Linked DNA regions of Struthio camelus. The protein of the gene in region 2 interacts with the protein of the main gene of each other region in a biochemical or structural test. Links are inferred from orthologs where the notes say so. Each region holds a gene or a part of one and is shown on either strand. Other genes may lie near its edges.

Region 1 (7,661 bases), on a different chromosome or scaffold from region 2:
AAACCGTGCTGTTTGTTCATGTTTTCCTCTAAGAAACACACACGTCCCAAATTTGGTACCTCAGGACGGTGCAGACAGGACAAGGGTGTAAGAACTGTGTCCCAGTGCCGAACCAGAAGAGGGGGACAACACAAAGCCAGCACATCCAAACAGCACAACATCCCCCAACTGGGATCAGGCAGCAGGTCACAAATACAGCTAACGCTTTGGAAGAAGCAGGGGAACATCACCTCCCATCTTGCCTCCACCATATAGTACCCAGCTTAGCGGTCTGGCCCTTGTACTGCAATTCAGGCTCAGTAAGTTTAGAACCAGTGTCGGCCTTGCTCAGTTTCTGAGCGTTCTGCACTTGCCAAGATGTTTCGACGGACAGAAAAACACGCTGCCCAATTGCTCCATCTGGTGAAATCACTCGTTTATCTATTCAGGCACCAACTTAAAAACAGCGAGTCAGTCCAATCGTTCCAACTGGCCAACAGAGCATTCCTGCCTACCAGCAACTTCAGATCATTTCAGCCCAGATCCTATAAAATCACGCATATGCTTTTAAGCACGTGCAAAGACGCAGCAAAATGGATGAGAACTGAGGAACCTCACGTGCATGGCCAGGTAGATCCACGTCTCTGATTCTGAATGGACAAGAACAGGGATGGTTGTCTTCAAGCTGTTTCCAAAGAGCTTCACATACTTTTGTTTCCGCATAAGCAACTTAATTACAAGGGAGGCAAGCCTGAAAGATTTTCTTTACTTCACCTAACAGAACTGCACTACCTATCAGCACTTTCCTGGCGGTACACCAAGAGTGCAGATAACAGGAAACTTATACACGAAAGATTAGGCAACAATTTTATATCTAGCATCCTATCTTCCCAGTTTACATAAGACTTAATTACTCCATTAAGCCTTAATTAAACCAATATTAAGACAAGGACCATCCAGTTGACACCTGAAAACTTGCATCACGAGGGGGGGACAACACGCTCGGAAAGGCCGATTACCTTGTCCCTAGCCCAGGCCGCGCCGGAGGCCTGCCCCACCACCTCTGTCAACAAACGCAAGGTCCAAAGCTGCGCCCAGACGCGCTCACCGGGTGCCAACCCCGGCTGGGGACATCCAGGCTGCACCGTCCGCGCGGGGAAAGCACGCCCCGCATCCCTGCTGCCAGGGGGGCCCCCGCAGGGCACCGCCGTCCCCGGGTGCCACCAAGACTGGGGCCACCGCGATGCCCGCGGCAAGTGTGGCACCTGGGGAGGCTTCCCGGCAAGGCCAGGGATGCTGTAGGACGCGCGGGGGGATGCTGTAGGGACGTGGCCAGGGATGCCGTAGGACGCGCGGGGGGATGCTGTAGGGACGTGGCCAGGGATGCCGTAGGACGCGCGGGGGGATGCTGTAGGGACGTGGCCAGGGATGCCGTAGGGACGTGGCCAGGGATGCCGTAGGACGCGCGGGGGGATGCTGTAGGGACGTGGCCAGGGATGCTGTAGGGACGTGGCCAGGGATGCCGTAGGACGCGCGGGGGGATGCTGTAGGGACGTGGCCAGGGACGCTGTAGGGACGTGGCCAGGGATGCTGTAGGGACGTGGCCAGGGATGCTGTAGGGACGTGGCCAGGGATGCCGTAGGACGCGCGGGGGGATGCTGTAGGGACGTGGCCAGGGATGCTGTAGGGACGTGGCCAGGGATGCCGTAGGACGTGGCCAGGGATGCTGTAGGGACGTGGCCAGGGATGCCGTAGGACGTGGCCAGGGATGCTGTAGGACGTGGCCAGGGATGTTGTAGGGACATGGCCAGGGACGCCGTAGGACGCGCGGGGGGATGCTGTAGGGACGTGGCCAGGGATGCGGTAGGGACGTGGCCAGGGATGCGGTAGGGACGTGGCCAGGGATGTTGTAGGGACATGGCCAGGGACGCCGTAGGACGCGCGGGGGGATGCTGTAGGGACGTGGCCAGGGATGCTGTAGGACGTGGCCAGGGATGCGGTAGGGACGTGGCCAGGGATGCCGTAGGACGCGCGGGGGGATGCTGTAGGGACGTGGCCAGGGATGCTGTAGGGACGTGGCCAGGGATGCCGTAGGACGTGGCCAGGGATGCTGTAGGGACGTGGCCAGGGATGCCGTAGGACGTGGCCAGGGATGCTGTAGGACGTGGCCAGGGATGTTGTAGGGACATGGCCAGGGATGCCGTAGGACGCGCGGGGGGATGCTGTAGGGACATGGCCAGGGACGCTGTAGGGACGTGGCCAGGGATGCTGTAGGGACGTGGCCAGGGATGCTGTAGGGACGTGGCCAGGGATGCCGTAGGACGCGCGGGGGGATGCTGTAGGGACGTGGCCAGGGATGCTGTAGGGACGTGGCCAGGGATGCTGTAGGGACGTGGCCAGGGACGCTGTAGGGACATGGCCAGGGATGCCGTAGGACGTGGCCAGGGATGCTGTAGGACGTGGCCAGGGATGCTGTAGGGACGTGGCCAGGGATGCTGTAGGACATGGCCAGGGATGCTGTAGGACGCGCGGGGGGATGCTGTAGGGACGTGGCCAGGGACGCTGTAGGACGTGGCCAGGGATGCTGTAGGGACATGGCCAGGGATGCCGTAGGACGTGGCCAGGGATGCTGTAGGACGTGGCCAGGGATGCCGTAGGACGCGCGGGGGGATGCTGTAGGACGTGGCCAGGGATGCCGTAGGACGCGCGGGGGGGATGCTGTAGGGACGTGGCCAGGGATGCGGTAGGGACGTGCTGGGCGATGCCTTCAGACGTGCCCGAGGACTCCTTGGAGCACAGCGGGCCACCTCTCGGGACGCGCCCGGCCCTGCCCCGCTTCGCGCCCCCCCGCACCCGAGGCCCGGCGAGGCCCAGGCCCCCGCTGCGGGCCGCCCCCAGCCCGCCCTCCCCGAGGCGGCGGCGGCGGCGCCGCTCTCCTACCTCTGGGCAGCGACATGGCTGGCGGCGGCGGCCCGCAGCATGCCCAGGGCACGGCGAGCGCCCGGCGGTGTCCGGGCGAGCGCGGCCGACAGCGGGGAAAGAGCCGCGGGGCGGGGCGAGGGCTGGCCAGGCACCGCCCCCCACCGCCGGAGCTTCCCTTCTATTGGTTGTCTGGAGGGAGGGGGCGGGGTTAGGGCTCGGAGAGTTTTATGGTTCTCGGGCGTGCGGCTGGAGGGAGGCAGGCGGGCGGGCGGGCAGAGGGAGGCTTTCTCCTCCATCTTGCCCCCAGCACCGTTGCGCCAACCGCCCCGTTGCACCGAGGCGGGGCTCGAGGCCGCTCGGCTGCCCCGGAACGGCGGCTCGGGGCTGAGGGGAGGCTACGGGGCCTCGGCGAGGCTGCGGCACGTGGGGCCGCACGGGCCTCCCTGGCTGCCGCGGGCCGTGAGCCACGGCGAGGCCTCGGAGCCTTCCTCCCCTGCTCGGGGAAGCCATCACCCTCCTCCTCCTCCTCGCCCGGGGCCCACCCGAGAGCCCCGAGCCCGCCGTCCCGTGCAGGGCCGTCCAGGGGCCCAGCACCAGCAGCCCCGGCCCGTCAGGCTCGTCGGCCCGTTCGCGCCACCCGGTCCCGCCGCCCCGAGCCCACGAGGCCCCTCGCCGCTCGGGACCACGGCGGGGCCGGACCGGCCCCCCCATCCGCCGGCGGGGGCCCAGCGCTTCGCACGGCTGAGACCAGCCAGCTCATCACGTTTCCCTTGGGACGGCTGCTCTGGGCGATACCCCTTGTGCCCCCGCCGAGCTGCCCCGGCCCAGCCCGGCCCGCTCACGCCGGCGTCCGATCCTGAAGGGCGGCTGTGTTTATCGCAGGCGCTGGGGATGCACGGAGGCGCGCAGGCCGGGCTGGGAAGCCAGCGGGAATTCGTTCCTCGCCCTGAGTCACCACAAAATTCCTTCAAGCCCAGCAATATGCCCGGGCAGATGCCGGCGGCGTGAGGGGGCTCTTCTTCTGCGCCTGCTGCGTTGCAGAAAGCAGTGGCTGAGCAGGACACGAGTGACGTAGCGGAAATGAGCAAAAAGCAAGTTGGGAATGCAGTTTTCTGGCAGGAATCCGCAGTGTGATCCGTCCAGGGACGGAAGGAGGGGTCGGAGAGGCGGCAACCCTGAACGCAGCCTCGGTGAAGTCGCAGCAAGCCCAGTTCCAAGACGTGTGTTTTGCGAAGCGTTTTGCATGGGTTCAAGGACTGGAAAACCTGTCTCAGAAACAGCGCACGGGAATCGCAGCAGAAGCGGAGGAGCTGGGTGGGCCGTGTCTATGCAAAGGAAAGATGTCCCGCCTCGAATGGACCTTTAATCCGGCCGCAGTGGTGTCAGAGCCAGCAACTGGAAACTGAAGCTAGAAAAGTTCAAATGGGAAATAAATTACAAATTTTTTAATGGTGACAGCAATTACCTTCCCAAGGGATGTAGTAGATTCACCACCTTTCCAGTCTTTCAACACAGACAAGGAGTCTTTCTAAAAAATATGCTCCTGTTCCAACCACAAGGTTATTAGTGGTGAAGCAAGAGCTACCGATGTCATTCTTTGGGCTGGGTAAGCAGGAGATCAGATCATCATGGACTTTCCTGGCTTTTAGCCCTACAAACCTCTGAATCAGCAGTTGGGTTTGAACTCCAGACTGGCTGATCCGAACAGGTTTGGGCTGGGTCAGTATTTGGGTGTGAGATTCGCTGGATGCCACTGCAGAGAGAAGAGCGCTCCTTTGCGCCTTAGCAAATAGGAGACTCCCTTGTCTCCAGCTGGAAGGGCACCTGCAAGGACCGGTGGGGCCGGCTTCGGCAACGTAACACCGGAGACATCTTGGCCGTTGTGCTCCCCGGAGCCTGGGGGAGCCCTTGTGAGCGCGGGGCGCAACCCTTGTGTCTAGGAGCACGTTTTGTGCTATGTGGTTCCTCCTCCTTTCACCACCAGGCACGGCAGGAGATTGCTGCCTGCTCCAGCCTGGGCTGCAATTAAAGGGGTGGATGAAACAATCGCCTCGTTTTATTCCTCCTCCTTGAATCACTGGGGAGTTTAACCAACAGATGTTTGTAACCTGCTCGGAGATCTTCAGACGCAGAAGCGCTGCAGAGGTATGAATGGGAATTTGGATGCGCTCAGCATGAAAATCGGACAGGCTGGCAAGGCACTGGGGCTAGGGAGAGAAGGAAAACTCATGAACCATTGCTAGCTGCAATGAGGAGAAGGAGAATGGTCCGGCCGGAAGGGCAGGAACAGGACCAGAGGCAGCATTTGAGGGTTGGTCATCTCCTCTTTGGAGCCAGGGCCCAGTTGCCTCTCATGGGCATCTTTCTCTTTATTTTGCAACCTCTAGGTGTCTGCCGGAGTTGTTTCTTTTGCCTGCAACTCCTCCTGTCTGTCTGAGCTGCTCATCATCAGATCCAACCGACTCACTGCTGGGTAAGTGTATCGGAAAGATCAGAGGGAGCTGTAATTGCTGGCCTGAGGCAGAGGTAATCATCACAGGCAAAGGCAGAGCAAAATGTCCCAGCAGAGCTTAAGCGTTCCCAGAAACTTCCGCAAGGGAGGTAGATTTTTAGCATTCCTGGAAGGCCACTCCACGTTTCGAGAATGTTATAGGTAAATCTGTGGATTTTGTAGGCTCTGGAAGGACGGAGGGAAAAGGAGGGAGGTGTGGGTCAGACCGCACTGAACACGCTGAGGTCCTTGCTGCTGGCGCTCGACGCTCTGCACTTCAGTGGCTGGCGGCCTCGCTGGAGGAGAGAGCTGGGGACTGTCCCCAGCCCCGCTGCTGTGGCGCTGCGCCAGGGCGGGTTTGAGAGCCGCCAAGTGTGCGGCGCCCGCACAGCCGGATGCAGCACCTGCCACGTCCCCTGTCACCGCAGAGCAGGGAAACCCAGCGGGGAGCTCCCCTTCGTCCACGTGCAATACGCTTCTCCTTTCCATCCCTTCTCAGGATCCCAGCCACGCATTTCCCCCGAGCCCCTCCTGCAGGCTCCAGGGCATTGGCACCCCCTCACAGCTCAAAGCCGGGTGCTGGATTTGGCCCCTGTCTCCACCTGCGCCAGGCTCCCCCATGCCCTTGAGCTCATGCCGCTCATCTTCTTCCTCCCCACAAAATCACAGCTGTGCTGGGCCCTGCTCTTTACAGCCTGTGTTTGGCTTCCCTTGCGTTCACGTGCTCACAATGTTTTGCCATCTTTATCTTCCAGCATCGCCATACGGCCTGGAAGCACGGGCTTAGCGAAGGCTGCTGGGAGGGAGTAATTGATTCCCCGCTCGCCCAGAAGGCCTGTAACAAAGGAAGGAATTGAACCTCAGCCACAGGCTTCCTTTCTCCCCGCCGAACCGCCGCAGATCTGCCTAGCGACGTGGGACGCATTTCTTAACCGCTTTGTGCCGTGACTTACAAAGGAGATCACACCGCATACCAACCACGCAGGCACGCCGTGAAAGCGGCTAATTTGCGTTTGTTAAATCTCTCAAGGTCACCGGCTAAAGAGCGCAGGAGAAGGACAACTTCACGTTACTGACATTTTCTAGCCTTTCACGTACCAGGAAGGTAACGAAGCCTTCTCCCACCAGAGCCAGCCCATTTCTGCAGCCTGGCAGGTACTGCAGCTCCACGGGCTCTGCTGAGCGGTGGCGCGCAGCTCCGGAGCCTGCGTTCAGCACAACGCCTTGGCATCAGCCCGGGTCCATGGAGCGGCATGAGCCAAATAAACCTGCTGGCCTGAGGAATCAATCAGTCTGTAAACTCTTGACTTCAGGGAGTAGGAACCAAAGGGATTAGTAAATGAAGGCCTAACTTCACAAGGCATTATTTAAGCGCAGACTACGCTGATTATCTATTCCACTTTATAGAATAATTCTAAATATTGTTACTTTTCCTATTATACAAACAGCCACCACCCTGCCCCACTGCACTAGCTGTTGCGCAAACACTTTCTATAGATGCAGCTCCTACCTCCAAAAGCTTTCAGTTCAAGGATACCAAGATTTTGTTGCTACGGCTCAACAAACAAGGAACCAGACAGCCTATTTCATCAACCAATTTTGCATATAGTGGATACACCGATTTCATTGAACAGACTCTGATTTACACAACATGGTGCATGGAAAGTCAAGTTCCTTATGTTTCAAAAGATGCAATTAATGCAGCCATCCCAAATACACTGTCTATGGTATCTGTGCTCCCCACACGCATGCTCAGGTGTCTGTGGTATCCTGTAACAGCCAACATACACAGTTTCTCCTGCTTTTGCAGCCTGCTTGTCTCTCAGGACAAGCGCCCCAAGAAGCTGGACACCCATGCAGCACCGTTTCTGTAGCCAGCCCCTTCGGGAAGCCTCGTGGTGTCTGTGGGGTTTTCAGCGCTGCCTACAAACGCAGCCTGGTGTTGCCCTGCAGCGGAGTGTTCCCACAGCCCACCAGCATGCGGGAAAAGGCACCGCGCTTCTGGAAAGGGGCATCACGTGAGGTGCAGGAATTTAGGGTTTGCACCATACCCCAGAGCAAGAGTGAGTATGCTAGTAGAGCAAACCAGTGCAGCACCAGTACACCACCCCAGTGCACTCATGCTGCACCAGTACACCTCTACAGAGTACCAGTGTAGCACCAGTACAACCATGCAGGACCAGTACGCCAGTGCAAGGTACCAGTGCAGCACCAGTACAGCCATGCAAGACTGGTGCAGGTCCAGTACACCAGTGCAGAGCACCCAGCA
Region 2 (7,425 bases):
CACAGTCTGAGATTACAGACAGCCTTTTATGTGTTTAATAGTAATACAAGAAAGTAAGAGTCTGTTAAATACCAGAATACCAGAGAGTCTAAAGCCTACAGGGAAAGCAAAAAAAAAAAAAGAAAAAAGAAAAAAGACAGAAAACAAGAATATTCTTACAGCTAAAGCCGGTCCCTAGAGACAGGAACAGTTGGTGGCAGCACTGAAACCCTGTGGCTATTTAATCAGCCCCTTCTCATTTCTAGCATGCAATGAATTTATATTGCATTAGCTCACGCTTTCTGTGTGAGACAATAAAGCTCTGCTGATTGCTCTTTACTCAAGTATAAACATGTTTTGCTCTACACTCGCTAAGCTGCTGCAATCACTGCCAGTCAGTAACTGCAGAAAGAAACAACCATATTTACTTAAAAGATGTCTATTTTATTTTAAGGCACTATTGACTTTCCAGTCCGGTACCTTCCTACTTGTAAAGAAGTTTGCAAAGTTTCTATCTGTAGTTCGACTTGCACTGATACCTGCAATATTGATCTATGCAGCAAATTTACTCAGTGGAACAGCAGCACGAGATGCTTTGTAACCAGCTAAGCAGAAGAGGAAAAGACAATCCTCACTTCAGATAGAGCTCTTACTGCGTTGACTCGCTTATACGAATCAATTTTATTACAATGCCAAAAGCAAAAGAGGCTACTGGCTGATTATCCAATTTGTTCAACAAAAATTATTTAGTAGTATAAAGGGACTGCACTGAAATGCAGACTACATGACTCCCTCAGTGCCTGAAGTGAGATTTGTGTATTCATAAGGACTGCAAATGAATCACAGTGGATGAAGCAAGGAAGATAGAGTTCCACTCCTATACTGTGGGATTTACTGTTGTAAATATCGTAACAGAAAGTGAAGGAATAGCTGCCCACGGCATTTTATGAGTAACAGGATTTGAGCTTTGCCCTGGCTATGAATCTGACACTCATATACAATGTAGTAACATAAAAGTGCTCCGAAACTTCTGAACTGAAGCACTGTGAGATTGCAAAGGCAGGCAGAGTGAAGATTAAAATTTGTTTTAAAATTCTGCATTAAATCATGTAAGAGGAGTGTTAGCATAGCTAAAATGAAAATTAAATGATCTCTATCTTCCTTATGCACGTCTAAGCATTCCACAAAGTCATTTCAGACCTACTCCTGGTTGTTACTGGATTTCGTATTTTGTACTTCCTAGTCCAAACTTCTGGACGTTAATTTTGTAAACTGTTACATACATAATATGTTTTATCCCCAAAGTAATTGATGAGGAATCCTTCTGTATTTCTTAATGACCCAACAATTGAATAGTAAAATAAGTTAAAACTTCAAATTCTGCACAGATATTTTAGTGTTCAAAAGAATCACAGAATCACAGAATCGTTTAGGTTGGAAGGGACCTCTGGAGATCATCTAGTCCAACCTCCCTGCTCAAGCAGGGACCTCTAGAGCATATTGCTCGAGAGGCAATATGCTTGAGAGGATTGTTATTGCCACTGTAAACATTACACATCACAGGCAGGAGTACAGTTTCACATTTTAATCTGAATTGTATATTTGTGACCTCTGGCTAAGGTCTAGTAGCTTAAGAAACGTGCTCTTAAATAGTACCATTATTTAAGCCGCTTTTATGACATCATTTATGGTTTGCTTTCTAGTGAATAGAAAAAAAAAGATGCCAGAAATGTTGCAATCATACAATTTTTTTTTAACAAAAAAGCGAACGCATTGCACAGACATCTACAATTTATGAACGTCCTTTGGGAATAACACAGTCGTAAATTTAATATATGCCTGCCAAGAAGGAGTTGTTTCATATGACAAATCTGGCAACTGCACTGCAAGTACAACATCAAATTGCAGATGTGCCACACCTAATCCAACTGGGCCAATGTCAAGGGAGGGCAAAAGCCAAGCACGACCATAGACTGCAGAACCTCTTCTTAGCTAAAAGAAGAATTTTCCTCTCCTAAAAAATCAGCGGCTGGTACAACTCTCTTGTAGGATAGGGCTACAGATGTCTGGATTCGTATTGTATCATTCCACTTTTCAAAAGTCAGTTCAACCTCGGCAAAGGGTAATACCATCAGGTCGAGAACGCGCTAGATAACGTTATTTGTAACGCAGAACCTATGCAATACCGTATTCGCGTTGCTTGACTTCTATTTTCTACGCTACCTCCTTTTATTGCTTAAGCAGCACCAGCGACGAGCTGGAAGAGCCATCCCTTTTAAAAGCAAGCAGACACCGCGTCCTTCTGCAGACCAACAGCCTTCCGAGGGTCGCCTTCTCAAACATACGAAAATTAAGAAAACGGGAAAGAAAGAGCCAAGCAGTAATTTTTCTTCCAGGAAAGGACGGAGAGGCTCGGCTTAGCCGGAGAGCACCGGGGTGGCCCAGAGGCGCTTTAATCCGCCGTTTCCTCTCCCGACTTCGCCCTTGTGGAGGGCGGCGGCGGCCGGGCCCCGGCCCCGTCCCCGGCCGGCGAGGGCCGCCCCGTCCCCGCCTCACGCCTCACTCCGGGCCGGGCCGCGGCGGCGGCGGCGGCCCCTTCCCCTCCCCTCCCCTCCCGGCCCGGCGGTTACCTGCTGCACGCCCGCCGCTCCCGCGTACAGGTCGGCCACCACCAGCACCGGCACGTGGACGTTTCTGCCGTTGAAGAGTTTCGGGGCTGCGGAGAGGGGGGAGGCAGAGAGGCCGCGTTAGCGCCCGCCGCCGCCGGGCGGGGGGGGGCAGCGCGGCCCGCCGCGCCTTACCGCTCTGCCGGGCCGCCAGCTCCAGCAGGTCGCTCAGGGTCTGCACCAGCGTCTCCAGCCGCTTCCTCTCCTGCACGTTTTGGAGCCGCACCACCAGCTTGCTCAGGGCTTGTTCCTCCCTCGCCGCCGCCGCCGCCGCCTCCCTCTCCTCAGGGCTGGCGCTGGCCATGGCCGCCCCGCTGCCCCTCCTCGGCCGCGGCTCACCCCACGCGCGGGCCGCCGCGGCCCAAGGGAGCAGGGCTGGGGCCGCCCGTCGCCACGCTGCGCCGCGCTCGCAGCGCCGCCCGGCCGGCGTCACCCAGCTGCTCCGAGCCTCCGCGGCGGCCGCTCCCCACTCCGCTGCGCTGCGCTGCGCTCCGCCCCGCTCCTCCCGGGGCCGTGACCGGCGCGGCGCGCTGCCAAACCCGCGCGGGCGGGCGGGCGGGGATCCCCGCCGCCCCCAGGGGGCGCCCGCGGCGGCTTGGCAACAGCCCCAGGCGGCGGGCCCGGTTCCAGTGAGCGACAGCCCCATTCTCCAATAGAGTGGCAGAGGGGAGGCCTCGGCTCCGCCCCTTCGCCCCCGTTTACGATATAGGGCGGCGTGAGGGGCTGAGGGTTCCTCATCTGAGTGTATTAGAGGAAAATAGGTCTGGGGGCGGGGTGCTGTAGTCTGTAGGGAAGGGAAAGGGGGAGCGTGTGTAGGCTGTGTGTCTGTCCCCTCTGGGAGGGTAGGACAGGTCCTGAGCTGGTGAGGTCCGCCTTGCCTGGGGAGGTGCAGGGGGGTTGCGTGTCCCCTCCTGTGGCTGGGCTGTCAGCGAGGGCCTGGGGGGGCAGCGAGGGGGCTCCTCCCCTTCCTTGAGAGGTTAAGTCGGCTGTGTGGTGGCTGAGATGAGAGCAGAGGGCCTCAGTGGTTCAAGTTGACCGTGGTGGAGGGCAGTGTGTGCTCTGCCCTCCTGAGTGGTTTGGCCTGATGGCCTCAATTAGGTCCACAGGTTTGGTTAAAAAAAAAAAAAAGTGGTGTTGCATTTAGAAGTTAAATTTCACTCTAAGCTTTGCAACGGTGGGCCTTCCTGAGACAAGGCTCTCTTGCCTTGTGCATGTGTTGCTTCATTTGTGATTGATGCAATCTTCCTGTAATCTGACAATATTTCTGGTACCTCTTGCTGCTTTTCAAAGAAAAGTGTTAGTTAATAAAGTAAATTATCTAGTTAAACTGGATTTTGTTAGATAAACGTTTGACCTTTTGGAGGATGATGGTAGGAGTATGGATCTATTTGAAGCTCTTGCTTAGGTTTTCATGCCTTGTGGATAGATATGCATCGTGTTTATTGAACACCTGACTTAGGTGATTGGCTTGAGTTTCTTAAAACAGACTCTTCTTAAGAAGCAGAACTGAGCACTCTGAGTAACGCTTCAGAACCCACGTAGCGCTGGCTAAACTGTCTCTGGTCTGTTGGCGTTTTGGTCCTGAAAAACTTGGGCATTGCTGTCCCAGTCACTGAGAGTTCTTACATTTTTGTGCACAAAGAAACTATTGTCTTGGCCTCCCAATTATAGCCTGCTAACTAAGACTGCATTTGTTAGATGGTGAGCTAGTTATTTCTCTGTGAAGCACTAGAGAACAAATATGAGTGTGAGGTAGCTTTATGAAGCAGTGACTCGCATTTTGACTTAAACAAAATGCATTACATCTGAACTAAAAGGAAAATGAGTTGGATTGAAATAGATTACTTTTACTTGAAAGATGTGTTTCCTTTCTGCAGAGGCAGTAATTCTAACGCAAAGAGCAGCTTTAAAATGTTTTTCTTGACTTAAAGCCTGATCATAGCCTTCCTGCAAATTTGACAAGGTTCTTGTATCCTGCAAATTTTACGAATACAAATAGTCTTTCATGTTACATCAATAATCAGCTTTCTCGAATACCTACCAAAACGTAGCCATTATCAGACTTGAGTAAATGATTTGATGTATTTAAAGGGCAATCTTCGTAATTTATACTCATCAGAAATGCCTGTTGTGAGGTCTAGTCTCTCCAAAACTATATCTTATAATTAATGATATTGATAGATGAAGTGATACATTAACTTCTAAATCTTAATCTTAAACTGAATTTTGTGGCTGTTCAGTGCACTCAGTGGTGCATTTTTCACCAGCTCTACTGCTGCTCCAGATTTCTTTGCATTGTGGTTTTTTAGGAATACGCTAGTACAAATTATGTATAGACTGGGAGTTTCAGTGAATGCAAGTGGAATGAAGTTGTGAATTTCATTAAGGAAAATTGAGATTCCATTTTGAGAACTCTTTGAGAATTGAGAACCCTTCTCCTGAAATAAGGTGGGTTCTTTAACTACATCCTGGGTGTAGGCTGCTGGAGATTACATGTATGTGCTGAGTTTGTTTTGCTGCTTTTAGAGTACTGTGTTGGTCGGTTCTTTTCTGATCCGCTCTGCCCCCAACAGCTGCCAGCTGTTTGGCAAACTTAAGGTCAGGGTATTAGGTTGTTAGGTGGAAAGAGAAGATAAAAAGTAGAGCTAAAATGTAATCTTAGTCTGTACTTTAAAAGATCTTTCTGTCTCTTAGACATCTCACCTGTGATTTCTTCAGCATGTCCTATTTGGGTTTCTAGAGGTTTCAGAGTTGCTCAGCTTCCCTTGTTCGTCCCTAAACTACAGATAACTTTCACTTCCATACACTTGCATTAGCTTTTCATAGTTTTTACGAAATCTGCCAGAAATATGTAGCAGCTGGGTCTTTCTTGATGCTGAGTGCCTTGAGTATAAGAGGGATTATTTCTGCTTCTTGTTTTATAGCTAGACAAATAGCCACCTGCCCACTGTGGGCCGTTCTTTATTTGTCCTCTTAGACTCAGATGGAACTAATGCTCATTATTATATATGGTATTGTCTCTGGTGTGTGACCATCCAGACAGCTATAAAGACACAGTATGACATACTGACATAGCATAGACTAATAAATTGTTCTACCTGCTAACGTATGAGAACGGATCTCTACCTTCAGCTTTTGTATTTCTGTATCACAGTGAATAAAGTACATGGTTGACCAGAGTTCTTTGGAGATGTGTGTGTGTTTTTTTTTTTTTTTTTTTTTAAACAAGCTGGATTCTTGCATCTCGGTGGTAGAGTTATCACTGAGATGCCTACTGTGTTAGGACATCCTGCTTTTTCTTTCCAGCTGTGGCTTATAAACACTCTTTGGGACAATGTGGAGCTATGCAGGATATTAAAAATAACTTAACTGATGATGTTTGTGGAGAGGATGTAAAACAATACAGATGTTTGGGTTTGGCCTTGAACACTGTAATGTTAACACGCATGCACCAGGAAGTCTTTGTTCTTATCTGTCACCTAATTTCAGGGGAAAAAGTAGAAACCCAGTCATGCTGATAAGCAATTGTATTGTACAGAAATTGGAGAACTTGTCTCTTGAATACACTTTTTTAAACCTGAATTGTAAGGTTCAAAGCATATTTAGGATTCACTAGCATATTATAATCACTATATGAACATTGACTTGGTGCAATTGCTTCTGTGTTGTGCCTAGCTTCATCTATTTATAAATGGGCTTATGGCAGTGTTATACAGTATAATAACACATGATTGGTCAAATTCATATTTACTACTGCATGTTTCCTCAGTTGATTTTTGACTGGCAGGCACTACCAGAGACGGTATCCTAAGTTTTCTTTTTCAGGTACCTAACAGGTGTCCCTGTGAAAAATGCAAGAGATAGGGCAAGCAAGTAATGCTAACAGCTGAACTCCAGCAGTATTATAAACACAGAAAACATGATGATCAATCTTCTCCGAAATGTTCAATGTGCACCCTGTATCTACCTTTCTGGCAAATGCTGCCAGTTGCAACAGGCAGTTCCAGCCTGCTCCATCCCGTTATGTACAGGTGATACTATCTCCCTAATCCTTTGCAGCTCTTTGGGTAAATGATTTGTAGCAATTGTTTGTTCCCTGAGCTAGGTGGTTTGTGGCCTGGTTTGATGTTCCCTCCTCTTTCCTCTTGCATTGGTAAAGAGCAAGAAAAAAAGTTGTCTTAGTGCTTCCTAGGGGACTGAATATGTAAAGGACCCAGCCGGACCCAGCCTTTTGAGATACAGACATCTCAAGCCCAAAGCTTGCAGACTGGCTCCCAAGTTTCATTCCTTCGCAAACTGTTCCCTGGAGGACTGCTTGGAGGGGGCATCAGCTACTGCTAAGTATCCACGAGTCTGGGATGGTTTGCGAAGTCCTGTGCGATTCTGCAGTGTATCACTTAAACCAGAGGAGAATGAAAAGAACAAACTCTTGATAAAAGTTCATAATGTTATTTTCTCTGGTATTCATAGATTTTTCTTAGGCTGGTGAAGATGTGAATCATATCTGCAAAAGAGAGCAAGGGTTGTTGATTAAGCAGTTTTTGTCATGATGACTGCTAGAGAGGTTGAGCATTGATAATGAAGTATAGGTGTCTGAATACCATTTTTCCAGTGCTTTGATAGGAAAGCCAAAGAACTTCACCTCTGGAGCACCAGTAGTTATTATTTTTCCATACTGGAAGATTCTTATATTTCTGCACTCTTTCTCATGATGCATCAGAGAGTGTGGGTGGCTTGTTCTGGTACCTAACCATAAAGACCACAGTGAGGGTTAGCTGCT

Evidence for each region. The genes of interacting proteins can lie anywhere in the genome.
Region 1: of the proteins of LRRK2 (region 2) and MAP2K3, one has a biochemical effect on the other in vitro, tested with the Homo sapiens proteins (2 studies listed by BioGRID). The link is inferred for Struthio camelus from reciprocal best matches to the Homo sapiens genes LRRK2 and MAP2K3.

What each region holds. Positions count from the first base shown.
Region 1 is NC_090956.1:4,373,005-4,380,665, reverse strand, and holds the start of MAP2K3 (dual specificity mitogen-activated protein kinase kinase 3), read right to left. Parts: upstream 3,042-7,661; 5' UTR 2,936-3,041; coding exon 2,920-2,935; intron 1-2,919. UniProt on the Homo sapiens protein: Dual specificity kinase. Is activated by cytokines and environmental stress in vivo. Catalyzes the concomitant phosphorylation of a threonine and a tyrosine residue in the MAP kinase p38.
Region 2 is NC_090942.1:16,687,597-16,695,021, forward strand, and holds the start of LRRK2 (leucine-rich repeat serine/threonine-protein kinase 2), read right to left. Parts: upstream 3,050-7,425; 5' UTR 2,950-3,049; coding exon 2,781-2,949; intron 2,696-2,780; coding exon 2,610-2,695; intron 1-2,609. UniProt on the Homo sapiens protein: Serine/threonine-protein kinase which phosphorylates a broad range of proteins involved in multiple processes such as neuronal plasticity, innate immunity, autophagy, and vesicle trafficking.